5 linked regions of the Tribolium castaneum genome follow. The protein of the gene in region 3 purifies or fractionates together with the protein of the main gene of each other region. This does not show direct contact. Links are inferred from orthologs where the notes say so. Each region holds a gene or a part of one and is shown on either strand. Other genes may lie near its edges.

Region 1 (6,026 bases), on a different chromosome or scaffold from region 3:
AATGTTCCGGGTACCCAAAACCGACAAAAACTGCGACGAAAATTGAAAAAATCAAACATCAAAAAATTGAACATATGGACTTTTTGTGGACTTTTAACAGCTTTTGTGGGTTGTTAAGACATGTAGAAGTCCATAAAAATTTTCAGGAGTTAGTTAAAAAAAAATTTTGTTTCACCTCTTTGAAGGTGAGTCTTGTATTACTCAGGAAATTTGAGCAAAAAAATTGAAAATTTTAAATTGCGTGAAAAACTGATATAATATGTAAAATGAGCCGCTGAATCCAATGGACCAAACCGCACTGCTCTACGACTTTTAGTTTTCGAGTTATGAATTTTTTTATTGAAAAAAATTTTTCACTATGACAAATGGCTACCCTAAATTTAGGCAAAAAATTTTAAATTTTTAATTCTTGTGAAAAATTGATATAATATGTAAAATGAGCCGTAGAATTCAATGGAATAAACCGCACTGCTCTACGACTTTTAGTTTTTTTTTTTATGAATTTTTTTAATGAAAAAAATTTTTCAATATGACAAATGGATACCCTAAATTTAGGCAAAAAATTTTAAATTTTTTATTCTTGTGAAAAATTGATATAATATGTAAAATGAGCCGTAGAATTCAATGGAACCAACCGCAATGCTCTACGACTTTTAGTTTTTTTTTTATGAATTTTTTTAGTGAAAAACTTTGATCGCTTCTGTAGCCGGAACCGTTGCCCGGAGCGGCTCCGGGTTTGGTCGAAAAAATAGACAAAATTAAGCGCTATCAGATGGTTTTTTGTTTGTTGCTCTAAGTCTTACAGTTTCTGAGAAAAACGCAAAAAAAGGTTTCCATTTTCACTTTTTTTCAATTTTCAACCGCCAATTGTGACGAAACTATTAGAGTTATCGAGAAACGGAAAAATGGAGGACAACCGGAATAAAAAACTCTAGAAAATGGCATCGGACTCAAGGCGATATCTCGCAAAAAAATTTTCAATTTTCAAACGCCGATTACGGCCAAACTAAAAGAGCTAGAGAAAAACGGTTTGTTCCATCGTAAAGAGCACATCAAAATCTATAAGATAGAATAGGTTTCATTTGATTTTGAGACACTTTAAAAATTGACCGATTTTAAGGGGGGGGTGTTAACTTTTTTTTAATTTTTTTAATTTTTTTATTTACGGCTAAACTATTGTAAAAAGTGGAACTGTTTTGATCCATACCTATGCAAAATGATCCGGGGAATCGATTGGCATCGAGAAAATTGCCAAATTCCCAATAGTGGTTTAGTTATGAATTTTTTAAAATTTTACCAATTTTTGCATTTATCAGCAATTTCCTCGAAAACTATTAGTCGGAGAACAATAATCTTTTTTGAAAAAAATAAATAATATAAAGAGCTTTCCAACGATAATACACTTCATGGGGTTATCTCTAATAGTTCCGGAGCTATTGCTCGAGAAATGTTCCGGGTACCCAAAACCGACAAAAACTGCGACGAAAATTGAAAAACTCAAACATCAAAAAATTGAACATATGGACTTTTTGTGGACTTTTAACAACTTTTGTGGGTTGTTAAGACATGTAGAAGTCCATAAAAATCTCATGAAAAGTTGGTATAATATAGAAAATGAGCAGCTGAATCCAATGGAACAAACCGCTACGGCTAACCGTTCGAAAGATATCGTCAAAAATATAGTCTCGTTACAAAAATGTCTCAACTAAACTTATGTTATTATCTTTATTTTTTTCACCCCCTTTATATTCCGCAATTTTCTTTATTTCTGTAGGATCATAACGAACGATAATTTTCCTGGTGTGAACTTGGCTGTAGAAAACGAAAATGGTAGAAGGGGAAATGGTACTAGCTCCATGCGCGCAGCAGTTGTCTGGTCGACTGTAAGTTTTGGTGCGATCCTAACCGACATTGACGAGAACGCTGTCAATTGAGTGTAAAGTCAACTGTCTCACCCAAACGTCAAACTGACAGTTTAGGTTAGGTCAAAACACCCCCAAAAATGACCACAACAAAGTCAAATATGCGCGAATTGGAGGCGGCGGCCAAAGACTCGGCCCGGGCGCACGTGGTGAACATGTTCCAACGTCCAGGCCAGTTGGAAAAAGTCGACCACTTGAAGCGCCGCCTCACCCGCAAGAAAAACTCCGTGGAGGCGCTCCTCAAGTCCGCGATGCAGCAACAACTCGACGGAGTCCGCGTCGGACTCAACCAACTGCACTGTTGTCTCGAAGACGTCCGCGAGATCGACTCAAGCATCAAAAAAATGTTCACTCTCTTCAACGAAGTCCCCGACTTGTGCGCCAAGCTGAGCCAAGTCCGGGACGAAAACATGCGGCATTCGCAGTACGTGACCGCGCGCGAGAACTTGAAGCACATCTTCACGGTCCCCGAAAGTGTGGAGAAGACCAAACAGTGGATTAACGAAGGGAAATTGCTCCACACCCATCAGTGTCTGAGGGATTTGGAAATGTCCCGCGATGATTTACTGTACGAGTTGCATAAGTTGCCAAACCAGTCACCGCATGATAAATCCATGCTTAAAGCGTACTTTGCCGACGTTGAGACTTTGTCCAATTTATTGGAGAAACAGTTGAGGCTGATTTTGTCGCGTACGCTCAACACGGTGCGGAAGGAACCTACTGTGATTGTCACAGCTCTCCGGATAATTGAACGGGAGGAGAAAACCGACCAAGAGGCACTTAAACAGGAAAAACAGACCGGGTTCTTGCCCCCAGGGCGGCCCAAAAAATGGAAACAAATGGCGTTCGAAGTGTTGGAAAAGTCAGTCGCTACTAGAATTGAAGGCACGCAAGTCGACGAACGCGATGACAACAAACACTGGCTCATTCGTTACTTGGAATTGACGCGGCAGCTCATTTTGGAGGACTTGCGAGTTGTTAAAACACTGTGTGTCCCGTGTTTCCCGCCCAGGTACGGGATCATCGACAAGTACATACAGATGTACCACCACTGCCTGTCCCGCCACTTACAAGAAGTGATTCAGAACGGAATCGAAGGCAACGAATACGTGACCATCCTCTCATGGGTCAGTAAAACCTACCAAGGGGTTGAGCTACTGGGCCACCCGGACTTGGTCGAATACACCAAACACCTGGAGCCTTTGCTCCCCCAGCCCGTGATGGAGACCCTCGAGGCCGAGTATTTGCGCAACATTGAGACAAACTACGGGGAATGGATGCGAAACACCCTAAACTCAGAGGAGAAAGAGTGGCGCTCGAACATCGAACCCAACTCGGAGAACTACACCCGCACGGCAGCCCCCATTATCATCTTCCAAATGATCGACCAGAACTTACAAGTCTGCAAGACGATAAGCGACGAAATGACGTGCAAAGTCCTCATCTTGAGCATAGAGCAAGTCATCAATTTCGGGGACATGTACCGGAGAGCAATCGTCGAGTTCAAAAACAAATACTTCGAGGACCGCAAGCAAGTCCCGTACTTCACCCAGTACATGATCATGATCGTCAACAACTGCCTCCAACTGGCCGATTTGGGGTCACAGTTGGAGAAGCAGTACTGGGCCCCCACGTCGCCGCCAACTCTCGGCGATCATTTCAACCGCTTGCGGACGACTTTCATCCAGTTGCGCAACGACTCCGGCGATTTCTTACTCGAGGAGTTGTTCCTGGACTTGGACAAACACTTTGACGAATTGTTCACCCCGCGCTGGCTGGGGACTTCGCACCCCGTCGACACGATTTGTGCGACTCTCGACGACTACTTCCAAGACTACAATCGCCTCAGCGAACCCAACTACAAGTTTATTGTGCACCAGGCCCGCGCTTTGGTCTCCAAACGCTACTTAACCGCGCTATTGTCCAAAAAAGGCACTTTTAAGACGTATGAAGAGAGCGTGCAAGCCAGCGGAAAGATCGTCAAGGAGGCCAATCAGTTGGGAAAGTTACTAGACACACTGTGCAGTTTAGAAGGCGATGACCCGTTTGAGAGCGTTATTTTGTTAACGGAAGTATTGAAGAGCGACGATGATATGCTATCCTTTGAGCTACATCGGATTGTTGAAAAGTATCCCGATATCACCGAAGATCATTTATTGCGACTGTTGAGTCTGAGGGGTGACCTTGCCAGGTCGGACATCCGCGATAAAGTCGCGCATTTGCCCAAAGTTAAGGCCACGCACCAGAGCAGCGTGTTCCGGACGCTGGTGTTCCCCAAACTTGTTAATCTCAACGTATTCAACAATTAAATCTATAAGATAGAATAGGTTTCATTTGATTTTGAGACACTTTAAAAATTGACTGATTTTAAGGGGGGGTTAACTTTTTTTTTTCTCATTTACGGCTAAACTATTCCAAAAAGTGGAACTGTTTTGATCCATACCAATGCAAAACGATCCGGGGAATCGATTGGCATCGAGAGAATTGCCAAATTCCCAATAGTTTTTTAGTTATGAATTTTTTAAAATTTTACTAATTTTTGCATTTATCAGCAATTTGCTCGAAAACTATTAGTCGGAGAACAATAATCTTTTTTGAAAAAAATAGATAATTCAAAGAGCTTTCCAACGATAATACACTTCATGGGGTTATCTCTGATAGTTCCGGAGCTATTGCTCGACAAATGTTCCGGGTACCCAAAATCGACAAAAACTGCGACGAAAATTGAAAAAATCAAACATCAAAAAATTGAACATATGGACTTTTGTGGACTTTTAACAACTTTAGTGGGTTGTTAAGACATATAGAAGTCCGTAAAAATTTGCTGGAGTGCGTTTAAAAAAAAATTTTTTTTTCATCTCTTTGAAGGTACTAAGTGTATTTATTACTCAGAAATTTGAGCAAAAAAATTGAAAATTTTAAATCTCATGAAAAGTTGGTATAATAGAGAAAATGAGCCGTAGAATTCAATGGAACAAACCGCAATGCTCTACGACTTTTAGTTTTTATTTTATGAATTTTTTTAATTGCAAAACTTTGATCGCCTCTGTAGCCGGAACCATTGCCCGGAGCGGCTCCGGGTTTGGTTGAAAAAATAGATAAAATTAAGCGCTATCAGATGGTTTTTTGTTCGTTGCTCTAAGTCTTACAGTTTCCGAGAAAAACGCAAAAAAAGGTTTCCATTTTCACTTTTTTTCAATTTTCAACCGCCAATTGTGGCGAAACTATTAGAGTTATCGAGAAACGAAAAAATGGAGGACAACCGGAATAAAAAACTCTACAAAATGACATAGGACTCAAGGCGATATCTCACAAAAAAAATTTCAATTTTCAAACGCCGATTACGGCCAAACTAAAAGAGCTAGAAAAAAACGGTTTGTTCCATTGTAAAGAGCACATCAAAATCTATAAGATAGAATAGGTTTCATTTGATTTTGAGACACTTTAAAAATTGACCGATTTTAAGGGGGGGGGGTGTTAACTTTTTTTTTATTTTCTCATTTACGGCTAAACTATTTCAAAAAATGGAACTGTTTTGATCCATACCCATGCAAAATGATCCGGGGAATCGATTGGCATCGAAAAAATTGCCAAATTCCCAATAGTTTTTTAGTTATGAATTTTTTAAAATTTTACCAATTTTTGTATTTATCAGCAATTTCCTCGAAAACTATTAGTCGGAGAACAATAATCTTTTTTGAAAAAAATAGATAATTTAAAGAGCTTTCCAACGATAATACACTTCATAGGGTTATCTCTAATAGTTCCGGAGCTATTGCTCGAGAAATGTTCCGGGTACCCAAAACCGACAAAAACTGCGACGAAAATTGAAAAAATCAAACATCAAAAAATCGAACATTTGGACTTTTTGTGGACTTTTAACAACTTTAGTGGGTTATTAAGACATACAGAAGTCCGTAAAAATTTGCTGGAGTGCGTTTAAAAAAAATTTTTTTTTCATCTCTTTGAAGGTAAGTGTTTTTATTACTCAGAAATTTGAGCAAAAAAATTGAAGATTTAAAAAAAAATTTTAACCTTCTCCTATCAATTCTCTAGTCAAAAAAACTTACATAACAGAACGTTGCTCGAATTTAGAAAAACGAA
Region 2 (6,356 bases), on a different chromosome or scaffold from region 3:
AAGGGCTTTAAACACCCACGATGGATCTATTGGGTTCCATTATGAACTCTATGGAGAAACCTCCAAGTTTGAGCGAAAAAGAACGCCAATTGGTTAAAAGTAAGTGATTTAACCTCAATAACCTTCATCACCCCAAATTTCAGAGAGAAAAGAGGAAATCGAAAAACGACAAACAGCGGAAAAGGAGCGTCTAAAACGGTTTAAAGAGCGAGTCGAGTCGAAATTAGCGTCGCACTTTAAAGACCCCAACAATACGATGCTGAAATTTGAGCCAATGGACCAAATTTATCGGAGCATTGTGTATTTGTGTGGTTATTTTTTCGTATTATGAGAATTTACACAGTTTTTTAGCCACGAAGCTGCCGAAAGTGCGGGGTTATTGTCGTACGCTTTTGGTAATGATGGGGTGGATAGGTATGTCAGGGTGTACAGGAAAGAAAATGCTCCTTGTGAGGACGAGTTGGCGGCAAGGAGGCGAGGGGACCCCTGGAATGAACAAATCAGGCAGCAGTTGATCGAAAAAGTACGTTTGAACCGTAATTAGGTTGTTCCTAATTTGGGTTTTAGAGAAAAATGGAGAAGATTGAAGAAGTTGCAGCTACTAAAAGAAAGCCGGAAAAGTTCACACCACACTCTAATTATAGGGACAAATACGCGCATTTGATTGGACAGGAAGCCGCCCTAGAGGCGGCCAAGAAAACCGAGACTAATAAGAGCTATGGCTTTGGTAAGTTAAAATATCAACCCAAAAAAATATAGTACTTAAATCGATTTAAATTCAACCAATAATTCACTAATTCATTTATCAGAAAGTTTATTCTAATCAAGTGATTAATTTTTGCTTGTTTAGTGCCTAGCGAAAATAAAAAGGACGTCAGGTCAATTGAGCAAACAATGGCCGACATCAGGGCCAAAAAGCGCCTTAAAACCAGCCATGAAACACCATCTGAATAGTTAATTGTATTTATTAGGCAATATTTATTGTAACATTTACCACATTATAAAAACTCTGATGAATACTTTGTTTTTGTGTTCCTACTCGTTGGTGAGACTCCTTTAGTCAGTGCTGAGTATTCCTTTTGAAGTTTTTGTAGTGAAGCGCATTCGAAACCGATCGCTTCTTTGTATTTTTTCTGGCTTAAGTCTTGAACAGTAGTCAGGAGAAATTCGGCATTTTTCGTAATGAATTTCCTTTGCTACAAACATTAATTCTGATAAAGATATTGCACCGGTTTTTTACGCTACCTCTAATTGATTTTCATTACGCAAGGAGGCTTCAATGTGTCGCACTTGCGCCTCAAAAACGTCATAAAGAACGTCGTTTATCGTATAAAGCAGTTCGGTTGTTTCAAGTCGTAAACAATCATTCAAAAGAATTAAAAACAGTTTGGTAAAAACAAGCGTATTGTTTGTAAGTTGGATCCACGTATCGCCAGTGACGTAACTGTCCACTTTGAGCCCCAAATCGGAATATTCCTGCAAAAATCGGGCCAAAGCTGTCTTTGTTCGAAGATTCATAGGAATCCATTTATCTTCAAGAGCCCGAAGTTTTGCGACTTCTATCGACTTGTCACGGGCGTCCTTCAAGGCCTGCATTAGGGAAGTGCGCAAAGCGCCATCTAGCTGGTAACACAAATCAACGCCAAAAGAACACAACTACAACCACCAATTTCATTTTTTTACAAAGAGAGAAATGGTAAATTACTCGTTCGCACTGTGAGCGGGCCAAAACCACACATTCTGTTAAAGTAGAGAGCGAAGTTTGCGGCATAAACACCTGTTTTATGAAATGAGTCGTGAATACGGACAGCTCGTTACTGGCCCACACCACGTATGCTTTGAAAAATTTTTTTATTAATTAATTCCGCTAAATATTATCAAAAACACCGTTTTAATATTTTTGTACAAACCTGACGAACAGCTGGACGAGCTGGGAAAAGCCCTGAGGAACTCCTCAGTCATGTGACACATATTCGTAAAAACGACACTCGACAAATGCCTCACGTACATGACCGTGGAGCATTCACGCTTCACTCGTTTACACTGCGTTTTGAGCATGTTGCTGCACAACTTCAGGAATAAATTACACGCGGCTGTGGAGCGCCCCAACTGGTTGAGGAGTCTCACGGCCCGGCGGGCGGCCCGCAAGCCCCCTTGTTGTGACTTGTCTGGATTAACTTCCAGTTCTTTCATCAGAACTTCGGTTAAGTGGTTACGCCTTTGCTCGACTTTTAATTGGATGTCGAGGATCACGTGGTCCGGTTGGCCACTAGTGGCAACAAATTGCGTGATGTAGTCTTTCGATTTTTGGAGGAAAGTTAGAGCGTCCTCAAAGTGTCTTTGGGCAACGCAAACGTCTAACTCTTCGGGGATTTCCAGAAACCAGTCCGGGTGTACTGTCCCGACCTCGTCCTCAATTTCCTCAAAAGCTATAGTGGGGTAAATAGGGGAAAAGTGACAGTGGTGCCGACTTACGGTTGAGGCTAGGGGAATCGATTGAGGCGGACCGAGACGGCGATTTTTCCACGATTGATTCGCGTTTTTGTTGGTCTTGGGTGAGACGGGCTTTTTTGGCCTGGTCGAACTTATCCAACCACTCTTTCTACGATTTTTTTTTGTAAACTTGTGCAAACTAAATTTTCGCAATACCTTATTTGAGCCAGAAGTGCATTGGAAAACACGAGTGTCGGGAAAAATCAATAGTTTGAATTGGTGTTTGTTGTTACCAATTTCCCGCACATTTACTACCGCGAGACTACCTAACTCGTACATTACCTCAAAAACATATTTCATTAAACCCCGGCTATTATTATTTCTGCAAGTAGTCATAAAGCCGTCTGTAAATAAATAAGCATGGACCGTTTTGATGATGTGATTATCGAGAGGGTCAACTTCTAAAAGATCCCCTTCGTGTAAATAAGTCCTTCCAGGGACTTCCAACAATTCCTAAACCAGTCATACCAATAGTAACAAAAATTCGCCAAAAAATGGCACTTTACCTTACAACCCTCAACTTTTTCTAAAATTGAGGCTAATTTCTGTCGGTTTTCGTCACCTTGGTCTTTGGGATTGTCCCTATTTTCCATTTCTGTGATAACTGGAGTTTCTTCGCCCAAAATCGAAGTTGTTGATAAGGCACCTAATAAGGATTTTTGTTCAGATAAAAGGTGTGACAATTGATACATTTCACTCTCCAAGTCTACAAAAAACAGTCAGACTTATAACTAAGTAAAAATTAAAAAAATACGAGATATTTCTTTAGCAGTGTCAATAAACTGGGTGTAATTGCGGTACACATTTTGCTTCAAATTGTTGTTGGTGTCCTCAGACAGTGACTGAATTCTTTTACGGAGGCGTCGCAATTCGGGGCCCCCCACACAACTTTGAGACAATTCCCTAACATCTAAAAGAACCTAATTATCACCAAGTGATTACGTCTTATTAATTATGTTACATTTTCCCGCATCAAACTCCTTCGAGCTAAATAAACTTAAAGTCGGTTCTTTTGTGGGCTCCATGGTGTAAAAAATAATTATTTATTTGATAATAAAGTTTTTTCTAACACAAAAAGGGAGGCGGTGCCATTTCCTATAACCTCAATGGTTTGACAAGTAATTTGTCAATAGATCTGGCGTTGTGAGCGAACATTAGAGTGAGCCACGCAAGTGGTCGACATGTACGTGTGGGTTATCGTTTGTAACTTGTTTGTGTGATTGTCATTTGCGGTTCTTTGCACATTATCGTTGGTTAGGGACGCTTGTTATCGGCAACTGCGTCGTAAAACTGTCAAATCAAAAGTGTCAAACCTAAAAACAGTGTTATAATTACAATCAAATTAATTAATAATGGCAGCGGAAATCAAGCCAGCAACCCAAGCAAACGACAAATTCTGCACAACGAAAAAGCCCGCCCTTTTGGCAAAACTGGAAGGTTGTAGCGACGAAATAAACGCCGCCGTTTTGATCCCGGGCGAAGATGGGGTTATAAGTGTGTCAGATGACAAGTAAGTCGCTCCCAAACCCGGTCTTTACGCCTCATTTTTGTGATTTAGAACGGTACGTGTTTGGTTGAAGCGAGACTCAGGCCAGTACTGGCCCAGCATTTGCCAGTACATGCCCAGTGGGGCCACTTCGGTCTTTTACACAGTTGAAACCCGGCAACTTTTCATAGGACAGGAAAACGGGACCGTGTCAGAATTCTCGCTGGCATCAGACTTCAACCGAATGATGCCAGTGCGGGAGTACCTAGCACATCAGGCAAGAGTCACCGAAATTATTTTTGCCATCAACTGCGAATGGGTTCTGAGCGTGAGCAGGGATAAAGTGTTTTCGTACAATTGCACACAAACCGGCCGCAACATTGGGACTTACACGGCTGAGGCCTGGTGCACCTCTCTACAGTACTAATTTTTTGCGGAAAATTTTCGAGTCATGTCTTTAATTTTTGCAGATTTGATGCACAAACCAAACATGCGTTTGTTGGGGATTATTCTGGTCAAATAACTATGTTAAAATTGGATAATGCGGGCCCTAGTGTTATCACAACTTTGAAGGGGCACTCGGGCTCTGTTAGGTCACTGGCTTGGGACAGCGAGCGGCAGATGTTATTTAGTGGCTCCTACGACCAAACTGTTATCGTTTGGGACATAGGGGGGCAACAGGGCAACGCCTACGAGCTGCAAGGTCACCACAACAAGGTAAACATTGTTTATTACAACCGCAGTTGGATTTTTTCCGAAGCAAAGATAATTGTTTATTGGTTACGTAGGTCAAGGTTTGTTTTTTGTTGGCGATCGGCATTTGAAATTAAATTGGCAACAGTGCCAAAAATTACCAAAATTGTGGAAACAAGTGAATGTGATATTACAGGTCTCTGCTTTGTGCTACCTTAACTCGACCAAACAATTGGTCAGCGCGGGCGAGGACGGGGTGCTGGTCTTCTGGGACATGAACCAAACGCGTCAGGAGACTCCCGAGTGGATCGAGTCCGATTTATGTCAGTTGTGTGGAAGACCGTTCTTTTGGAACTTCCGAGCCATGATGGACCAGCGACAGTTGGGTTTACGGCAACACCACTGCAGACATTGCGGGAAAGCAGTTTGCGAGAAATGTTCCACAGGTAGATTAACAATTCCAGCGATGGGTTTCGAGTTCGCAGTGCGTGTCTGTGACCCTTGTCACCACTTGTTAAGGGATAGAGAGTGAGTTGCAAGTGGTGAAGTTATGTCTTGCTAAAGTTTTTTACAGGAGGGTGTCTTTAGCCACATTCCATGATGCTAAGCATAGTATTACAGCGATGGGATTGGACGAGACTCGCAAAAAATTGGTAACAGTCGGACAGGACCGGCTAATCAAAATTTGGGACATTTCCGCTTTGCTTTGAATCCGACTGGTTTAGTTACTAACGCTGGAATGTGATTCACACTCAATTAATTAATGTGCTATGATTTATTACATTATGTAAAATTTAAATATTATTAATGTTATATTTATATTCTATAAGTTCTATTGAAAATAAATCTATTATAATCACAGAATTGCGCCTCATTTGTGCTATTTTTGAACCCAAGTGTGCGAACAAGTGACATGATTCCATGAACGGATGGTAATCTGTGGTGACGTCAAATTTACAGGAACCTGCTTTCGGTCCGATTGTTGTCAGTTTTTTTCGAACAAACAATTGTTCGTTGTGATTTTTTCTCCCCCACACGATTAAATCAATTAAGTGCACTCTTCTTCATGATCCTTTAATACTTTGGTTCTTTAATGTTGTTGTTATGCGGCATGTGTTGGTGTTTTCGTCGTGCGTGCCACTCGAGTTGGCACCACTGGTAAACAAAACAAGCGCATATGCCAATTTTTGGCCCCCTTTTTGCCTTGAAAAATGTCCAAAAACGCTGAAAATGACTTATACGGAACGAATTTATCCGTCGAATCTATGAAGGTAATAGCCGAAAGCATCGGAATTGGAAATTTGCCCGACGACGCTGCAAAGGAACTAGCTGAAGACATCTCATTTAAACTGAAACACATCATTCAAGACGCTGCGAAGTTCGTCCACCATGCCAAACGAACAAAACTGATGCAGAGCGACATTGACGCAGCCCTCAAAGCCAAAAACTTGGAGGTATGTGGGCTTTTTGGTTATTTAACCTCATTGTGTCTTACAGCCCCAGTACGGTTTCCAATCGGCCGAAGGCCTCCCGTTCCGTTTTGCATCAGGCGGCGGACGTGAGCTTCATTTTATTGAGGAGAAGGAGGTGGTTTTGAACGATTTGTTGCAAAATTTGAACGCCAAAGCACCACTTGAGGTGTCTTTGAGGTCCCATTGGTTGTGCATCGATGGGGTGCAGCCCA
Region 3 (6,315 bases):
GGTATAACTCTTCGGCTATCGTTAGGACTACTTGAGGAAGTACGCTTTCTAGTAGAGAAGACGAAATACTGTTAACTTCAGAGTGGACATGGATCACGTTATTGATGCACTCCTTTGCATAGGGCCTTATATTATTGGGGGTTATTTCAATGTCCCAATCAAATCGGCCTAAATACATTGAGGGTTCGATTGTGCCAACTAAAGGATCACTTTTCTGTTCCAAATACTTCTCAAGGATCGTTTTTTCGAGCACATCCAACTTATCTTTGGCGTTTTTGACTGGCGTTTCCGGTGCCGGGAAACCACTCTCCTTGAACTTCCGTAAAATGGTGTCAAAGACCACGTTTTTGGCATAGAGGCAATTCGAGAGTGTTATTAAAAGACGGTGCTCCCAAATCGGCATATTATTATTGGTATAATTCGTTCTATAGCCATTGATCGGAGTTCCGATTAGTTGCGAGACGACAGGTGACGTATCCTCATCGTCATCACAACTCTCATCCGACGATAAATTGTTCAAAACGTTGTGAAACGACACTAAAACTGCTTCGATCTGTTTATCCAACTCTTTATGCGCAGTCGGATTTTCCAAGAGAGGTGTTTCGCGCTGCTCCGTCGATAAAACCGATTCCTTAACGATTTGGATCACGTCTTGGATGATGCGCTCGAATTTGATTGGCTGGAAGAGGCACATGACGCGAAACTCGCCAATCAAATCAAAATATTGAGATCATACTTTTACACACTGTTCCGAAATGGTTGTTCAAGTCAAGTCACCTATGAAATTTAAGCGTAATGTGCCGCTTAACACAACAAAAATCACGGAAATACAAAACACAAATCAAGACAAAATCTACAGTTAGAACAATTTTGCCGAAAAAGGCAAAAATGATCTGATGAACAACCATTTTTGAACACATTGTATTATGATAAGTTACAGTGAAGCATTTAAAAACAATTAGTCAATGAGTTTTTTGTATCATAACTTTGTTTCATAATTATTAACTTACAATACCAAAACAAGAACAAGAACATTTCTTGATTTTTGTAAAACACTAGTCGTTTTATACCAGAATAAACATTTTCAGCGTTTATACAGTGATTTTTACCGCCTTGGAAGAAATACCAGTGTTTCAGTAGAAGTTTCATTGCTCATAAACGGGAAAATTACAATTATTTTTTATTTGAAACCGTTTTTTCTAGCTCATCCCGATTTAGAATAATCTTTAAAAAACACTTTATTTCTCGTTTTTTGTATAAAAAAAATACAAGCTTATGCTCAACATTTTGATTTGACTGACCAGACTGGCTACCTACCAGTTCGGTTATCCCAACGTGGTTCCCACTAAAATCAATTTTCCAGTTCTCGTTCAACTGCTTGATTTGTTCGGCCGCTTGCTTGAATAAAGTACTCATACAGTGTATCCGCAAGTCGAGTAAAAGCGACGAGACAATATCCAGAGCCTCACTCGGCAAATCTAACTTAATTAAAGCGATGTAAGTCGAGCGCACACATCGTAAAATTTCGGGCAAGAACGGCGCCACCTCCTCAAGTTCGGGGATTGTCCAAGACCCGAGCGCGCTTTTATCGGCCTTATCGAGAGTGTTGGGGATCAAAGACGACCGGATTGATTTGCAAAAACTCTCCATTATTGTCATAACAATGTGCTAAAAACTAGAAATAGAAACGATTTTTGCCAAGTGGAGAGTTACTTTAAATTCGACGTGGCGTCCGGGTTCGATTTTGACTCGCAATTCACCCGAGAAATAAGCCTGGCCGATTTTCCACAAGTCTGGGAACGTTTCCGAAATACTGAGGCAAATTTCGTCAATAAAATTCACGTTTGCCGGAACTGTGTTTAAGTCGTTCTGAGGCGGAGGGTTGTATTTCGAGTATTTCGACGTCGAGTTTGACTTCGATCTCGGATCGGGTTTCTCGACATTGTGCTCGCCATAAATCTGCTTTATGTTTTTGTTGATGTAAGCTGAGCGGCTCTCGATGGCCCGCCAAGCTGGGTCCTCGGTACAGTCTAAATTCACTAAGTATCTAATTAAGCGTTTCTGTTGCTCTACAGTTATTGGCATTGTTTGTAAGTCGGTAAGGAGCTTCTTTTTAAGGTCGGCTATTCGTTTGTCCACTTCATTAAGTGCAGACTTAAATATCTTAAACTTCGATTAGCCACAGTCGATTAAGTTGAAGAACACTTACAGGCACATCAGTTTTGTTGAATAAATTTTTGACTCGTATGTAATCGTTGATTACGATATCGTATTCACCTTTCTTTATGTTCCTATCTATTACACACGGGAGGCAAAACAAGAACCTAAACCGGGCTAACACGTTTAGCGCGTTTCGAGTCTTTTCGGCTCGGTCTCGCCGCGCTAGCACGTCGTCAAACAATTTCCTACCTTCCCTTTCAGATTCTAAAAAACAGGTAATTTACTCAGCCAAAGTTATAATTAAAAAAAATAATTTAAGGTTGAACTGCTTAAAAGAGAATTGTTTCAAATAAACAAAGAATTTTTAAGAAAAACTTGGAACACCCTGTATATTTACGTGTAGGTGTGAGTGTTTTCGTTAATTGGGCCAAAAATTTGGTTCAAAAATTTTTTAGACAAGGAGCAAATGATTTTGTAAAATTTTGCTGCACCGAGATGAAGTCTAAATTAATATAAAAATTCTTGAACAGTAATTTTTTTGGAATAAAGGGCCTGAAATTTTTGAACAAAAAAATATTTTTTCCACATTTAAACATGTGGCCGAGTAAAATTTGCGCAAAAATCGAACCTTTTATTGATTTTTCGAGCTTGAGCGTTGGCTCGGTCCCGAATTTGGCGACATCGGCCTCAATTTTCTCCTTTAAATTGACAAGAGTGTCAATTTGGTCCATAACCGAGCCAATATTTGCCTTCAAAAACGACAATTGGCCCTCCTTCTGCCCTTCCACCTTGCGCCTCAAAAAATTCAACCTAACTGGGAGGTAATTGTGCGCAAAATAATTGTAATTACCCGGCCTGTAGATCATTGAACGACGTTGCGTGATGATTTTCCAGAAGGAACCACCCTGGTGAAAAATTTCCAGAGGCAATGTCGCCCGATTTATCGGGAAAGTATGTCATTAAATCATCTTCGGGGAATTTTTTGTCATTGCCTTCAACGGAGAGACCTAACGGGTCCTCCTGTTGGTAACTACTGGGGGACAAGGAGTGGCGCCCCCATACAAACAAGGGGGTGGTTTCTTCTACCCAAACCGCACTCTCTTTCATTGGACCGATGGTCTCGTGGTACCCTTGAATCATTAATAGAAAGGGGCTTTCAAAGCGTAACTGTACCTTTAAATGTGACGTTACAAGTGCCTACACCCCCCAGTCTTGTCGTCACTATCACATCACCTTTGCCCTTCACGGGCCCCGAAATCGCGATTATTTTATTGGGGGATTTCCACTCGGCCGACAAAAGACAATCAAAGCCGCAAATTGACAAACCTAAAAGTTAGGTTATTTTTTTCTACTACTTCTGTAAGTGACCCACCTATCAAATCTGTGGGTTTTGACCCGAAATTCTCCCCTCGTATTGTAATCCTAGTCCCTGGAAGCCCCTCGTTAGGGCTCAGCCCTGTTACAACAGGGGGCGGTGCCATTTCCTAACTAAAAAACTAAGCACTTTCCGTCTCAAAAACTCATACTGGCGATACTCCAAATCAAATGTGATTAATTAAACCAATTCGTTACTGCATTCTGATTCAAATAAATAAATTAAAAATATTTTTGTTTCAACTCTGACATTTGACGTTTACATTACGACAACAACACAGCCAACGCCATGTTTGGGCGAACTTCAAACCAGCCACACGGCGCTAAATTTGAAGCCAAGATGCGTATTTCCGTTCCTCCGCGGAAATAAAGTCTTATTTAAGTGCGTATTAACTTAATGAAAATTTATTGCGGTGCATCATGTTACAATTGTCCAATTTCGCTAAGTGCAGCCCAATTTACATAAAATTTCAATTCGCTGCGTGTTTTTTCTTTTTTGATTTCGTCACTTTTCACAAATTGATTTTCTGGTAAAGCAAGCACGGTATTGATTATTTCCCGAGGTCGTCCCCAAATAGAACAACAAGTCGCGACTCAATCAATATCTGATTCGAAAATTGCCACTTTTGGCACAATTTCGCGCCACTTGTCGCAGTTCGAGCGATTATTTTGCGTGGAAATAATGGAAACACTTAAGTGACGTCACTAAGTAATTTACCGTAGATACATGCGATAGTGGGGGCTAGCACACATTCAGAGCAGTTTCTTTAGTGTGCAGCCGTGTTGTGCATCAAAAAATGACCGATAATTACCCTGAACATTTGAACCCTTTTGCGGACGAGAAGCCCAGACCCAAACTGACAATTCGGGACTCTTTCAAAGAACTTAAAAGAAATTTGTGAGTACCGCCCTGGCGCATTTTCGAAATTTCAATTAAACGAATTGGAAAAATCCGAATCACGCCGAAAATAGGCGTGTGTAATGTTTGCGTTGTGATAACACCGATAAGTGATAACTAGTCAAGGGATTATTAATTACTTACCTTCAAAATATTTAACTCTTTATCTTTTATTTGCCGTCTTGAATAGCCAAGTGCGAATTTTTTAACAGCTCTGACCCGAATTCTAAGAGAAACAATGACAACTTATTCGCATTTTTATTAAATACATGTGCTAGGGTTGTTGCGAAATGAAGTTACCAGCAAATGGTCAATGCACCCAAAACAATAAATAATTTTACTGCTCGCTGTCACTACACTCATGAAAATCCATCTCTAGTCTAAATTTTACCGAATAATTGCCCAATTTATGTGACGCACATGTAAAAAGCGATTTGTTTATTTATTAATTGATTACTCTAATTAGGAGTCCGATAAAAATATGCAACTCGGGTCCGGCACTAAATCCAGCCCAATTTACAATAAAGGAGACATTAATTTTAATTACTATTCAACACAGAATCGTCCGCAAGGCTTAACAATGCATTGTCCGGCCCTGATTAGTTTTATTAAATCGTATGACATCCGTTCACATAAAAGAAAGTGTTTACCGAATTTTGTTGCCACAATAAATTAGCAATTGTAATCGAAGCGCGCATTTTCTAAACGAAAGTGGCCACAAATTAATAACTAAGTTCGTGAACAATCGAAAAACGATTTAATTTATTTACCCACCTAGATGAGTAATCTATTATGACTTTGCTGACATCATTATTATAAATATCGGCGATTTAATGAAATCGTTGCAGGCGGCAGTCCTTTCGGATCAAAAAGAAGGACAACGACGAGGTGACACTCCGGCAAAAGAGCGGTAAGTGAACTGTGACCATGACCTGGCCAACTTCCGTTGGGTGTCACCCGGAAATGATTAAAAATTTATTTAAGAGACGTTCAAGAGGTCGCCGTTGTCGTACCCAAGCCCCCAACAGGAGGCGCTTCCCCGGTCAAGATTTCGGGAGCGGATAAGCACCCCAGGCTCAAATCCGTTTGAAGAAGAAGAGAAAAGACAAAATGTTGGCACAACGAAGCGAAGGGGCAAAAAGCGGGCGCCTCTGCCCCCCAAATCGGCGTCCAGTCAAAATGTAATAATGCCTGTCTTGTCAACTGTACAAGTATTAATTGTTACTAATTAGGTTAGCAATTTGGAGGCTTCCTCCGATGGTTCGCACTGGAGTCTGACTTCTGCTGACACCGACTGCTCCTTCTCGACTGATAACGAAACCAAACCAGACGCAATGATAAACGAGTTCAAAGATTTTAACAAAAATATGGAAGCGCTAAAAGACGATAGTAATAACAATGTGGTTGCCAAAGAGAAAGCGGAGTCAAACAGTAACATTCCAGACCTAGTGATATCTTGTCCCAATGAAGAACTGGAAGAAAGTGACCATTTGTCGGTCATTTCGGAGGGAGGCGGTTCAGACTTAGTCGTTAAGGATATTACGAGTAATTTGATTGAGGAAAAAGAAGATGAAGTAGAAGTGAATTATTGCGAGAAGAAGTCACTTTACATCGCTGGATCTCGTGACGATTTGAACGACTCCCCAACTTACACTGGAAGAGTTTCCTTGTACATAACAGGATCATGTGACGACCTTGATGCTAGTAATAACAACGAAGTTTGTAATAAATCTGTAACCGACGAAAATAGTATCGCTGATGCAGTTCCGACACCCAAGCAAAGAAAAAATAAATTGTCTAAAAATATCCTTTTGGGCACGGAATCAGTCTGTAATTAAATAAAGCACTGCATTGAATTTTTTATTGAGTTTAAATCAAAACTT
Region 4 (5,569 bases), on a different chromosome or scaffold from region 3:
AATAATTAAAGTGTTATAACAGATTGTCTCGAAACTATCAGAATAGCCTGAGTCTAATGTAAAATTTACGACCATTTAGTTTCAAAGATATTGGTAAAAAAAAACACTTGAAATACAATCTTGCAAAATTTCTTGCAGTATTTATTTATTCTTTTTGTTTGTGTTTCTCACTATTTTATGATATTAGCATAATACGTAATTTAATATTACGTAAAATTATTACAGACATTGAAAAGACCACCTTTTGTAACTTATGCTTAAATGTAACAGCAGTTGTTAATCTTAATTGCAGTTTTGTAAATTTACCGAAGTATTACATGATTTTTTTAGTGGAAAAATTCTAACTTAAAATTCACACACTTCACTAATTTGTTGTCTTTTTTTTTGAGCCCAACATGTGCTCGCTATGATCCATTACTTATAGTCTTTAAGTATACAATTGTTTTAATAACATTTTGTAATCAAAAAATTAATCTTCTACACTTTTAGTTCTCTTTCAAATTCCAACAAAAAACACTTTATAACTACAGAAAAAACCGCATAACCAAAGCCCAATCTAGTATTTAGTATTTATCACGTATTCTTAATCTAATTCTCTCTAATGTAAGAAGTTAACACTCTTAATTTACAATAATTCTTTAGTGAAACCAATTTTAAGCAGAAGCGGAAGTAAAGAAGGTTAGGACAGACAAATAAAAATTTCCAGTATTTCGATTCTAATATTCTCCATTGTATCATGCAGAAACGTCTAAAAAGATAACTTATTGTGTCTGAAACTATACTTATGTTGTAAATGATCTGTAAGTAGTCTAATATTTATATTTAGTACTTTCTGTTAGTGTTTAATTATATTTATAATTTTGTTTTATTATTAAATGAAAAAAAAAACGAACAAGGTTTAGATTGAATTCAAATTTGCCGCCACTATCCGTAGCGCCATCTGAGTAAAGGTTTATTTCCGACGGAAAAACCCGAATAGTTCCGAAAAATTCCGGATAAAATTTTTATATTTGAACGTACTTTGTGTCAATAACGATTAACCGATTATTTGATTAATCAACTGATTACTCGATTATCTTGCCCAGCCCTAGTACCAGCACAAGTTACCAACCAGCATTGGTGAACTGGCAACACCATGGACACTCCCACCGCTTACGCTCTTCTGGTGGTTGCGTAACATGGTCAAAGACCGCTGTAAAACAGCCCCACGCACTTTACCATAAACTGTTAAATATTCATCTCGGCCGTTGTCAAGTAGCCAATTTGCGATTTTAATCAAATAGGCTTTCGTATGGTCTGGAATTTGAACAGGTGGGAGCTTTTCGCGGTTGTCAGAATTCTCGTAATTGATCAAATCGAGGAGAACGACCGGAAGCATTGGAGTGTTGTATTTGTCCAAAATTGTTTTAAATTCGGAATTGAGTTTGTCGCTACCTTTATGAAATAAAGTGGTCTAAAAACCTGTTTTAAATTTTGTTGACCTAAAAAATGGGGGTTAGACGTACGACATTTTCGAGTTCCACGCTTTGGGGGATGTGTTTTTCGAAATATTTCTGGGCTTTCGCCAGGCGATTTAATGAGTGGATGTAGTCGTCTAAATCGATACCGCTCTCACCAGGTCCTTTCTCAATTGTGCTTTCAACGTCACTTGATACGTTGTAATAGCTTATAACATCGTCGAGATATGTGAGAGTTTGGTCGATATCTGGTTATTTGAGTCAAGGAAAATCAACTAAATTTGATATTTGAGACGAAAACTAGGGGCGTTTCAAGGATACTGACTTGTGATTTTTGTAAATTTTCGGTATCATTGTAGACCGGTAAAATAGTGTCTTCAAGCCGTGAAAGACGCTCCTCAAACGAATTGAGAATCGTATCAATGCCTTTCGTGATTTGAGAGCTTTTTTTCAGTCTTTCAGTCAGCAAAGATAGGTTAGATTTCTCCTACGGGCATAAGTTAGATTATGTCACGATTACCAAATCACTGACTTTCTCCAATTTGCTTGTAATCTCATAAGTGCGTTCCTCGATAATATTCATCTTGTTTAATCCCAATATTTTGGAGAATTATTTCCAAAATTGAAGACTTTACGAGCAAAACATTATTGACGTCTTTTGTTACTAAATCAACAAACTTGACAATTGGCAAATCCCTAAACTAGAGAATGCTACGGAGGACTATAAGTTAGGAGACGAAAGAAAATACGAAATCTCAAAATTATCTGAACCCAAAAAAATAGTCCGGTGGAGTAAAAATGAGGGCGCTTCAAACGTTATATTGTTTCGGCGCCAAATTTATTTAAACCCAACGAATTCACTATTACTTGAAAAAAAACGCGAAAATATTGAGCTTTGTACTCTTAATGGTCTAAAATTTTCATAAAAAAATACGAGAAAAAAAATTATTAAAATTTTACAATTTGCGTTTCGTCCCGTATTTTTCAAGACTTTGCGAATATAGTTAAAGATACAAGGAAATAATTTTGAAGAAATTTGTAGAGAAATAAATTTAATATAAAAAATTCGTGACGCCATATCTCTATCGTCAACAGTTTAGGTTCTAAAAACGTTCAAAAACGCTCAAGTAACGGAAACGTAATTTATACCTAAACTGTTCTTCAACAGTTTATCTTCATGTTTTTATCTTCATAAAAACATGGTGTCCCGGACTTTTTTGTAAAAAATTTAATTTTCTACAACTTTCTTTTTAACATTTTTCTTGCATCTGTAACTCTATTCACAGCGTTTTGAAAAATATGGGGTAGAGTGCAAATTGGTACAAGTTTTTTTAAATATAGTTTACGATAAAATTTTTGTATTATGTTTATGTCCTACTATGGAGAATTTAATATTCTATGTGCCTATATTTTTTTCTTTGCTATGTGTTAAACGGTATACAATTTTTTTTTCAAATTCATTGGTCTGAAAACATAGGACGGGAACGTTTTATTTTCTACATCTTTTCATATCCTAACCCTTAAATATTTGTACTCTAAATAAAGTGCTACTTTCGAAATTTTCTATACGTTTTTAACGTCCTTCGCGCATTTGGGTGGAAAACATAAAGTAATGTATAATTACTGCGAAAGCAAGATGATTATTTAAAAGAAAAACATTGTCAAACTTGACAAACAACAAATCCCTAAACGATTCGAAAAAATCTAATTCTCCCTTAAATTTAATGAAAAGAAACGGAATTTCTGATTATTTGGTCTAGACACGCACCCTCTGTGATTCACGCTTGTCGCCCGTCAAATGTTTCACCCTAACTTCGGCCAAAACCACCCCAATCTTCCCCCGGCCGACTAGATTTAAAATCAATGAAACCTTACGATTTTCTCGAGAGGGGATGAATTTTCACGATAGGGGAATTTCGAGTTGACGTTGGGGAAAAGTGGAAATTGCCGGAGTGCAGAACGTGTGGCGTGTTTTTGTTTTTTTTCAGTTTTTTTGAGACAGGTGTATGGTTTTTTAGTGCGAGGAAAACCTTTTCGTTGAGTTTTTCCGATTGTGAATGGTGCTGTGAGGAAAATTCGTCCATTTTTTCAGTTTTCGTACCACTTAATCGGCGACAAGGATCATTCACAGCTGTAACAACAACAATAACAGTAGTAAAATAAAAAACAATATGCAAAGACAATTTTTTGGCATAAATTGCAAATTTTAGTTAGCCGAGACGCAAACCGGTCCATGCAGTTACCGGTATTATGCTGTCGCACTCGGCGTGGCCTCATCGAGTGTCGCCCTCTACCACCCAAATCCTGCCAACAAATCTTACTCATGCCCAATCATCGGAATCCGGAATCGAACCCGGACACATAGCGACAATCACCGGATCTTTGGCCTCGTTTCCGGATCATTACGACACGGATCACACGGATCTGGCGAGCGAATCGGACGAGGCCGAACTCAAACGAACACTTTTACGAGACGTGAGCGCCCAAAAATGCAAAAAACACAAAATATATACTTTTTATTACAGCAATGGCGCCAGTTTTTCGACAAGGTACACACGGATGATCAAAAAATCCAACAAATAACTGTTTCTGATGAGTATGGAAAGTGCTTTTTTCGCTTTTAGCATCTTTTAATATCACAAGTGAACATGTTTTCTTATTTTTTTGATGTCTATTACGTGTCTTTTATGTAATTTTATCAAAAACTGGCCATCATGTCAAATCTCAGAAAAAAAAATATTCAAAACCGCCAAAATCTTTGAAAAATCAAAATTTTGAAAATCAAGTAAACCTAAAAAGAAAAACTTTTTAAATAAACGCCACAATATACAGGCTGTTTCGCTTAAACGGCATATTAAAAGTACTGAATGTTCTAATAATTATAAGTATCTGCAAATTGTGTAAAGCCGCGATATTTTCAACATGGCGGCACTTCCGGTTATACCGGAAGTCGGTATTAACTTTCTTATTTTGAATAAAAAGATATGTTTTTTACTGCGTTTCTAGATAAATCAAGTTATTTTAAAGGGATTTTCATGAGATTTCCCTAAATTTAGCCGATACACCAATCAAATTGGCTCAATTTGGTCACGTGATCAGTTAATCACGCATTTAATTGCGGATTAAATTAATGACGTTTATAAACCGATCCTTAGTCTTAAAAATAGTAAGCACATCATTAAGTGCTTTGAAATTGTGATCATTTTTTTATTTTTTTTTCGAAATTCCTTTGAGTTTTTGAGTTAAGTTAAAAAAATATGTTTTAATAAAATTTAAATATTTAGCATTTAATATTAAAATTATTTATTAAATATTTAATAAATTTAAATAAAGTTAATCTAGATATAATTTAATATAAAAGATAGCAAAAAAAAATTGTTGTGCTTTGTATTTAAAGAAGCAATTTCCATACTCTGTAACAAGTTGGTGACTTTTAACGCCGCGTGTTGGCAGTACGACCCGGAGGGTTTCGGGGAAATCCCCTGGGGCGACTTGATTTCAGCAATGTCGGACCCGGAGTTTCGTCATCGCGTCGGCACTGGAAAACGCGAGATCCTGTTAGAAAAGGCCAGGAGTGCCACAACACCGGCGATTACATTCCAAGATTTCGTGAACGTGGTGAGTTTTTTATTTCGCATTAAGCTAGCATTGAAACGTCGGGGTTTTTGATTCTATTGTGTTTTTCATAAATAAATTCGCCGATGTAAAAGCGCCCGCCCACACTAATGACATTTTTCAAATTCCTCGTTAGTGTGACAAGCAATAAATAACTCGTCCAAATCCGGCCGTTTCACACCGACAAAGTAGTCACAACAGTGAAAGAGCCGTATTTCTCCCCCGATCGTCTATTGTTATTGGGGGATGCTGGGAATTTTGGTACGGCGTGTGTGGTACGCCTGGGGGTGACGTCTCATTTACGCGTCGATTGACTTTCGTTATGTCACTTTTGTTTTTATCGCGGCCTGCTCGATGAACTCGGCGAATTCTTTGCATTGCGACGACGGTCGATTTCAAGGCCGAACGCGGGTGGTGCACCTTCATCAGGGGCCCACTACCTACCTGAAACTCACTCTCGCTATCTGCGAGATAAGCTCATTGCGAAAATTATTGCA
Region 5 (6,342 bases), on a different chromosome or scaffold from region 3:
TTAAACACAGAATAATGTCTGTAAAAACGACCCTCAGTGATTAGTTTGAATACCCCTATTATGAATTAAGTAATTGCAATTTCAACTGTAAACGGTAATAATAAAAACAAATCATTTAATTTCACGGATTTTCATTCATACTTCCCTAAAAGCAAAGTCATGCCTTTGCGTTACGGAGAACTAATTACGGCTTAGATCTCAAATGAAAGTCGTTACATAACTAGTTTTATCTTTTGGTGGTTCAGTAGAGCCGTTCAAGTTGCTATGCTGTCTCTGACTTAGAAAAAATATAGAAAATTCTCTACATTTTTTTGCAGCTTTCGCAGAGTAGGGAATATTTTGAAACACTTACCTTGATGTTTTATACTTATTTGTTTAAAATTTTAGTGACATAAATCTTTTTTTTTTAATTGAAAAATTTGCGAAATGGAAGTTTGAAACGAAATTCGTTCAAAGAAAATAATAATTAAAAATGCTAAAGAATTCTAAGCGTGCGCTTAAAACGTAGGTCCAAACATGATACAGAAAATAGTAAATATATGCCTTTATTATTTAATCATTTAACAAATAATTCCTTATTACACTTTGAGAAAATTTTGTTTTTGTGTCTTGAAATCGCTCCGAAGCTGGATAAAGTTGTGCAAAACCGAGCGGTCGAGATTCACCAGAGAATCCTCTGAACACACTTGTTGCAAATTTTCTGGCTTCACTAATAATAAATTGCACAGCGCATGCAAAGTTTCGAACAACTCGGCCACAAGCGGACCTAAATGTTTAGTACATGATCGGTACTCATTTAAATCACAAATTGCGACCATTGCACCTTAAAAATCGTAATTAGCCAACACAAAACCATTTTTAATTGATTTACCCGCGGTGTTGAACTGAAACTGCAATAAATGATCGTAAATAACGCGATGTAATCGAATTCCCAGCTCTTGCAAAATGGCAGTAACGTTGTTACCGTCCAAATTGTCTTTGATCTCCTTAATTACATTACTTATGTATTGGGAAACTGCTTTGCACGCCTACAAATCGGAATTATTTTATGCAGAACGTGGAAGTGATTTACCGGAGAAGCGACCGTATCGAAGTCGTCAGTTTCTGGTTTAAAATCGGTTTTTTTCTGCTCTGATTGCAGGTAGACTTTTACCCAACTTCCCACAGCATTCAAAGTTCTAGAAAAATAATTAAAAAAGTAAATCATTACTTTTGGGTGTCACCTGTCCAGTCCGGTGTTAACTTTCCGTTCAATATCCTCCAAAATAAACTTTTTCTTTTGCATGCAATCGCTGTATTTTGGCGTATTTCTAAAAACAAATCTGAGATACGTTATACAATTTTGTAAGAAATTACATAATGAGAGGCACCGCTAAATCAGTGATTTGTTTCTCAAGCAAGTGCGTTATATTGTTGCTCTGGTGCACCACTGTGAAGAAATACAAAGTTGGAGGATTCTTGGACCCTTCTACCACAGGAATCGCCTGAAGCCCCAACTCCAGCGCATAATCTACGTGTTCAATTAGCAAAGAATTGAGCAAACGGTCTAAAATTTGACTGGCATTGGACGCCTTGTCTTCAGGCTTTGAAAGCTAAAAAATAAAACAGATTGTTTTTCATTCAGTTACACAAATTATGTACCAGCTGACAACGCTGGAACGCTTGTTTCGTGTCTTGCAAAATTGTAATTGCTAATTCCTCAGACAGGAATGTTTCGCCACCATAATTTTCAATCTGGGCTATGTTAATGTTGGCCCTTGTCCCAATTACGGCCTGGATGTCGCGTCTCAAGTCTTGGAACCTGTACAAATTTAGACAAAGGGAAAAACACGAAATAATAAAAATACCCGCCAGATTGGATCTGTTTCTTTTGGTGGTTTTTTGATTCGTAGTAACGTTGCAAATTGGCAGAACTGCGTTCTTTGAGACACTTTAGTTCTAATCTGCATTATGATTAATTAAAACAATTGGAACAAACCAGTACGGAAACTCACGCTATGTAATTATCGATGTATTTATTGAAAATGTTACTTGTTAGCTTATTTAAATAGTTTTTGTCGCTCCCCATGTTAAAAACGGATAAATCTTGCGATAACTGATTGGTTCTAAAATAAAAAGTGAGTCTGGTGGATCATTCAGAGTGTAATTACCTGTCATATAACTCGTACAAAGTTTTTAAATAATTGTAACTATCTAATTTCGAGGATAGTTTTGACGCGATGTACTCTTGCAGTTTCAAATGATACAAATTTAGGACAAATTTTGCCAATACTTGTTCCGGGTTATTAAATACTTTCTTAATAACATCGTAGTTTAGTTCACATAAGGGAAACAAACGCGAAAATACATCTTTACTCAACAAGCAACCCTAAAAAAATTGTTTCCACAAGAGGAATGATAATATGATAATATTTACAGCTTGACTCCGTTCAATGTAAGCATCAACGCACTGGGGGTAGCCTTTAAATTGTGATAAAACATTAGCGATTTCTTTCATTCTTTTGAAATCGTCCCTCCTTTGCGCATTTGAGAATTCTTCAATTAAAGTCCGCTCTGTCTCATCGTACTTTCTTTCAATTTTGCGCTTTAAGCCCTCAAATCTAAAACATGATATTGTTTGTTGTTACAATTATTGATCTAAATTTTTACTTTGGTGAGGGCAGGTCTTGTGAAATTAAATACAACTTTTGTATCACTTCTGCCGCTTCATCAATCTGCAAGAAATGTTGAACAAATGTTGATTTAAAAATTAAAAATACTTTTGACGAGTCGGTGAAGATTTCTGAAGTGAGAGGGCCAGTTTGTAAGAATTCATTCAAATGTGTCATTAGATTTTTTGCATCAACAACTCTTGCCCTAGGTCCGTTAACACTATCTAACTGGTCACCCAAGTGTAGGACTTTTGTCGCCACATGGTTAATTTTTCCGTCTAGCTCTTGAAACGTATCAATGGCTTGCTAAAATTGAGGATTGTATTTTGCAAACACAATTTAAAACCTACTTTATTTTGCCCCAATAAATCGTGGATTTTTTGAAAAAACAATGCTTCGTCTTCGCGTACGGCGGCTTCGAGCCTTTCACATTTCTTTTTTTGCCTTTCTTGGAGCAAAGTTAAGTCTCTACAAAAACGAACCCAGTTATGGGACTTACACAAGCCTAATTCTTACTTAATAGCTTGAACAAACGAGTCATGCAGCAATGTTGGATTAAAGTCCTCATCACCGTCATTTTTTGTTTCAGCTATTGTGCGCCAAGCTAATCTTTCAACAAATTCTTCAGCATCAAACGGTTCCTAAAGATTAGGGGGCGTTTATGCAAAGACTTACAAGTGGAGTTAAATACCTGCTCCAGTTCTTTCATATATTGTTGCATCATTTTGACGCGAAATTTTTTCCTTTAAACTGGAGGAGATATAAACATGAATTTATTTATTTTTGGCTTGACTTGACACCTGTCAGTTTGACGTCCAACCAATCTTAGGTTACAACAAAGTAGACCTTTGTTATTGGTGTTAAAACTACAATTTATGACAATTTCTGGTATATTTTGGGTGCGCGTTATCACACACGATTTTTTTTCTGGGTGGTTTCGACTTATTAATTAAAAATAATTAAAAAATAACTTTTAATCAGCTGACGTCCAGTGTCACCAAGCCCTCGAAACGTCAAACGCACAATAAAATCCCCAAGTCATTAGTTCATAATCACCAAAAAAATATCGTTTTTGTTTACATTTAAGGCCATTAAATCGGGAAAAAATGGGTATAGCTGACTGTTTTGAAAATATAAATATTCCGCCGTGTATTTGGTTCGAAGGGGGTGATAGGCGAAATGCGTACGCTTCAATGATCTCGGGGTTTTTGGTGAGCTTTTTTGTGCTCTACAACTGGACATGATTCATCCAAATTTTAGTTTTTCGTAGGCTGGTGGATAATAATCGATGCCGCAAGTGTATACCCAGGGACTGTCCTAGCAGGATACCACATGTGTGGGGTCGTGGGGGCCGTGTCTTTGATAATGATCAATTCCGTTTCAAACGCCCAAATGAGGGGCGACGCTTATGAGGGGGGCTGTTTGGGCCCCCGAGGCGCCAAAGTGTGGCTTTTTGTCGGTTTTGTAATGGGTTTTGCATCTGTGATTGCCTCTTGTGGAATATTATTTGCTGATTTCGTCAACAAGAGTAAGAGTTTTTGTAAAAAATTGCAAACTTTAATTGAGTTTTTTTACAGAGGTGCCTCACTATTGGCCGGGAGTCGCTATATTTTTGCAGAACGTGTTTATTTTTATCGCGTCACTCATATTCAAGTTTGGTAGATCTGAAGACATTTGGACATAGAAAGTAATTCACACTCATACTTTTATGTTGCAAATTTTACCCTTCATGAGCATAACAATTAATTTTTTATTAAGTGTAAAGTGTAAAAACTAGGTTGTAATATTGTGTAATTTATTATTTGCTAAATAAATAAAACATAAATTAAAAATCACAATTTATTTAATCGTCATCGTGATCGCTTCTGTTAGGACCTGGACAACTTGTACTTAAGTCATTTTCGTCAGTTGCGACAAATGCACAAAACATGCAATATAAATGCGTGTTTCTTAGATAATGAATTAGTTCGCTTAAATTTTCATCAGTAAAGTAGGAATCAAATTCTTCATTAAACTGTTCCTCTTCTTCCTCATCGTCTTGAACACCTCTCTTCTTCTTAATTGTTTCCCTCGTCCAATAAAACTCCTGAATTGGCTCATCAGTGTTCTAAAACAAGTAAATAACACACTTGACTCGTTAGCAACGTGTTCACCTTTCTTAAATCCAAATCTTCACAAGCTCTCTGCGCTTTAACAAAATCCTTACAGAGCAACTTCTGGGCTTGTTTATTTTTAATACTTGTATGAAACGCGTCCATTTTCTTTGCAAGAGTCTCCTCTTTGTGAACCTTCTTCCTGGTAACTTTTTCCTTAAAATGGCTTTCTAACCCAACCCCTGACTTGCCACTCCTTAGTTCTATTTTAATGGGCTCTGTTATGCCAGACTGCGATTTTCCCAAACCTTGTCCTTGCTTGAAACCCATTTTCTCCAACAATTTAAAGCCCTTGTTGTCATTTGAAATAGCAGTGTTCAAGCCCTCTTGTCTTCGCTCCTCTTCTCTTTCTTTACTGTTTTTGGGCTTCTTGGCCGAAAGCTCCTGCCTTTTTTTCTCTAGTTCATACTTTCGTTTCGTTGTGCGGTTGAAAACTAGTCCAGGACGGACGTCTTCATCACTAAATTTGAAAGAAAATTAAGCAAACATTACTTAATGCTTGCAAGGTTACCATTTCATTAAAAGCTTATCAGACATGTAATCATCTTCCGAATCCGACATTTTTCTATTTTTCTTTGTTATTACGTTTTTTTCATGATTATTGTGTTTATTTTCCTAAATTATAACCTTCTGCTCTTCTAGGTTAAAGTTACTGCCAACATTTATGTAGAAAAGTGAAAAACTCTCATATGTCTCAGATTGGCGAGCCTGTGATTTCAAAAACTTGTGGGAAAACATTTCATTTCAATAATTTTTGATATCTTATTTAAAATAAATCAAAAAATTAATACAAGTACACTATTTCGTTATCACATGAATTGGGTAATATTTTGGAATTATTAACGATGACCCCAATTAATCCCAGAAACTCATAAAGATTACCATTAAACAAAACTTTACGATTAAGTAACTATCCTGCCAATTATTTTCGTTTTGATTTACTTTATACAAAATTAGTTCTTTTTAAAGTGTTTTTTATAAAAAACCACATCTAGAATATAATTAATTTCATATAAATAACTGCAACAACAATCATAAGTAATCTCATTGTTTGTGATGTTGTTTTCTATAAATAACATTATGTTTGTGTAAATTTTTATACCTATCAATCCGTTTTAAAACTCAAAGTACACCAACAAGTATGGAAATTGTTTTTGTAAGAAAAAAAGTGATAAAACGAAGAACCTGATAGTGGGTATATTTGATATTCGGAATTTTGTCTCCGGAATTCATTTTAATGTGTGTTTTCTGTTAGAGACGTTGTAAGTGCTGACAAAGGTAAACTTGTTTTAAAATTTCGCAAATTTAATAATTCGTCAATTAATGTCGTGATCGCTGCTATTTTATTTTAATTAAAATACCCATTAAAATTTTTACGATTTTTTTATTAATCAGTTTTTTCAGTATTTGTTAAACCAAAATGCAAGGACCACCGTTTTTGCTTTTACTCTTGTTCCTCGCAGTTTCTCCTCTTCGTGGTAAGACTTTCTATTTTGAAAAATTACAATTTTAAACAATAAATTATTATCCACTAAAGC

Evidence for each region.
Region 1: the proteins of Sec5 (region 3) and Sec6 purify together in Homo sapiens (affinity purification with mass spectrometry; 6 studies listed by BioGRID and IntAct, counting the BioPlex papers as one, with this or other methods). This does not show direct contact. The link is inferred for Tribolium castaneum from reciprocal best matches to the Homo sapiens genes EXOC2 and EXOC3.
Region 2: the proteins of Sec5 (region 3) and Exo84 purify together in Homo sapiens (affinity purification with mass spectrometry; 7 studies listed by BioGRID and IntAct, counting the BioPlex papers as one, with this or other methods). This does not show direct contact. The link is inferred for Tribolium castaneum from reciprocal best matches to the Homo sapiens genes EXOC2 and EXOC8.
Region 4: the proteins of Sec5 (region 3) and Exo70 fractionate together in Homo sapiens (co-fractionation; 4 studies listed by BioGRID, with this or other methods). This does not show direct contact. The link is inferred for Tribolium castaneum from reciprocal best matches to the Homo sapiens genes EXOC2 and EXOC7.
Region 5: the proteins of Sec5 (region 3) and Sec10 fractionate together in Homo sapiens (co-fractionation; 4 studies listed by BioGRID and IntAct, with this or other methods). This does not show direct contact. The link is inferred for Tribolium castaneum from reciprocal best matches to the Homo sapiens genes EXOC2 and EXOC5.

Annotation. Positions count from the first base shown.
Region 1 is NC_087399.1:3,908,948-3,914,973, reverse strand, and holds Sec6 (exocyst complex component 3), read left to right. Parts: upstream 1-1,927; 5' UTR 1,928-2,002; coding exon 2,003-4,231; 3' UTR 4,232-4,268; downstream 4,269-6,026. UniProt on the Homo sapiens protein: Component of the exocyst complex involved in the docking of exocytic vesicles with fusion sites on the plasma membrane.
Region 2 is NC_087398.1:810,440-816,795, forward strand, and holds Exo84 (exocyst complex component 8), read right to left. Parts: upstream 3,616-6,356; 5' UTR 3,519-3,615; coding exon 3,455-3,518; intron 3,404-3,454; coding exon 3,248-3,403; intron 3,200-3,247; coding exon 3,000-3,199; intron 2,947-2,999; coding exon 2,650-2,946; intron 2,603-2,649; coding exon 2,476-2,602; intron 2,430-2,475; coding exon 1,911-2,429; intron 1,837-1,910; coding exon 1,706-1,836; intron 1,657-1,705; coding exon 1,246-1,656; intron 1,197-1,245; coding exon 999-1,196; 3' UTR 955-998; downstream 1-954. Other genes in the region: sperm-associated antigen 7, read left to right, coding at 21-99, 144-300, 352-523, 568-727, 851-954; Wdfy2 (WD repeat and FYVE domain-containing protein 2), read left to right, coding at 3,846-4,003, 4,052-4,399, 4,450-4,696, 4,869-5,200, 5,247-5,382; Taf6 (transcription initiation factor TFIID subunit 6), read left to right, coding at 5,884-6,126, 6,170-6,356. UniProt on the Homo sapiens protein: Component of the exocyst complex involved in the docking of exocytic vesicles with fusion sites on the plasma membrane.
Region 3 is NC_087403.1:225,070-231,384, forward strand, and holds the start of Sec5 (exocyst complex component 2), read right to left. Parts: upstream 3,813-6,315; 5' UTR 3,642-3,812; coding exon 3,533-3,641; intron 3,487-3,532; coding exon 3,334-3,486; intron 3,291-3,333; coding exon 3,011-3,290; intron 2,971-3,010; coding exon 2,789-2,970; intron 2,425-2,788; coding exon 2,210-2,424; intron 2,164-2,209; coding exon 1,714-2,163; intron 1,669-1,713; coding exon 1,318-1,668; intron 680-1,317; coding exon 1-679. Other genes in the region: uncharacterized protein LOC654960, read left to right, coding at 4,332-4,432, 5,281-5,342, 5,417-5,613, 5,665-6,270. UniProt on the Homo sapiens protein: Component of the exocyst complex involved in the docking of exocytic vesicles with fusion sites on the plasma membrane.
Region 4 is NC_087399.1:7,151,642-7,157,210, reverse strand, and holds part of Exo70 (exocyst complex component 7), read right to left. Parts: intron 5,076-5,569; coding exon of another isoform or gene 4,911-5,075; intron 4,007-4,910; coding exon of another isoform or gene 3,983-4,006; intron 3,933-3,982; coding exon of another isoform or gene 3,708-3,932; exon of another isoform or gene 3,668-3,707; intron 3,612-3,667; exon of another isoform or gene 3,589-3,611; 5' UTR 2,041-3,588; coding exon 1,990-2,040; intron 1,945-1,989; coding exon 1,779-1,944; intron 1,706-1,778; coding exon 1,506-1,705; intron 1,454-1,505; coding exon 1,112-1,453; intron 1-1,111. Other genes in the region: stet (uncharacterized protein LOC657740), read left to right, coding at 3,708-3,932, 3,983-4,006, 4,911-5,075. UniProt on the Homo sapiens protein: Component of the exocyst complex involved in the docking of exocytic vesicles with fusion sites on the plasma membrane.
Region 5 is NC_087396.1:19,820,265-19,826,606, reverse strand, and holds Sec10 (exocyst complex component 5), read right to left. Parts: upstream 3,575-6,342; 5' UTR 3,376-3,574; coding exon 3,343-3,375; intron 3,293-3,342; coding exon 3,168-3,292; intron 3,120-3,167; coding exon 3,002-3,119; intron 2,958-3,001; coding exon 2,760-2,957; intron 2,715-2,759; coding exon 2,650-2,714; intron 2,601-2,649; coding exon 2,417-2,600; intron 2,369-2,416; coding exon 2,151-2,368; intron 2,106-2,150; coding exon 1,995-2,105; intron 1,944-1,994; coding exon 1,848-1,943; intron 1,802-1,847; coding exon 1,642-1,801; intron 1,593-1,641; coding exon 1,357-1,592; intron 1,311-1,356; coding exon 1,224-1,310; intron 1,179-1,223; coding exon 1,073-1,178; intron 1,029-1,072; coding exon 872-1,028; intron 824-871; coding exon 579-823; 3' UTR 530-578; downstream 1-529. Other genes in the region: transmembrane protein 50A, read left to right, coding at 3,758-3,862, 3,912-4,179, 4,229-4,335; G patch domain-containing protein 11, read right to left, coding at 4,495-4,758, 4,805-5,264, 5,316-5,365; uncharacterized protein LOC660185, read left to right, coding at 6,225-6,282, 6,342-6,342. UniProt on the Homo sapiens protein: Component of the exocyst complex involved in the docking of exocytic vesicles with fusion sites on the plasma membrane.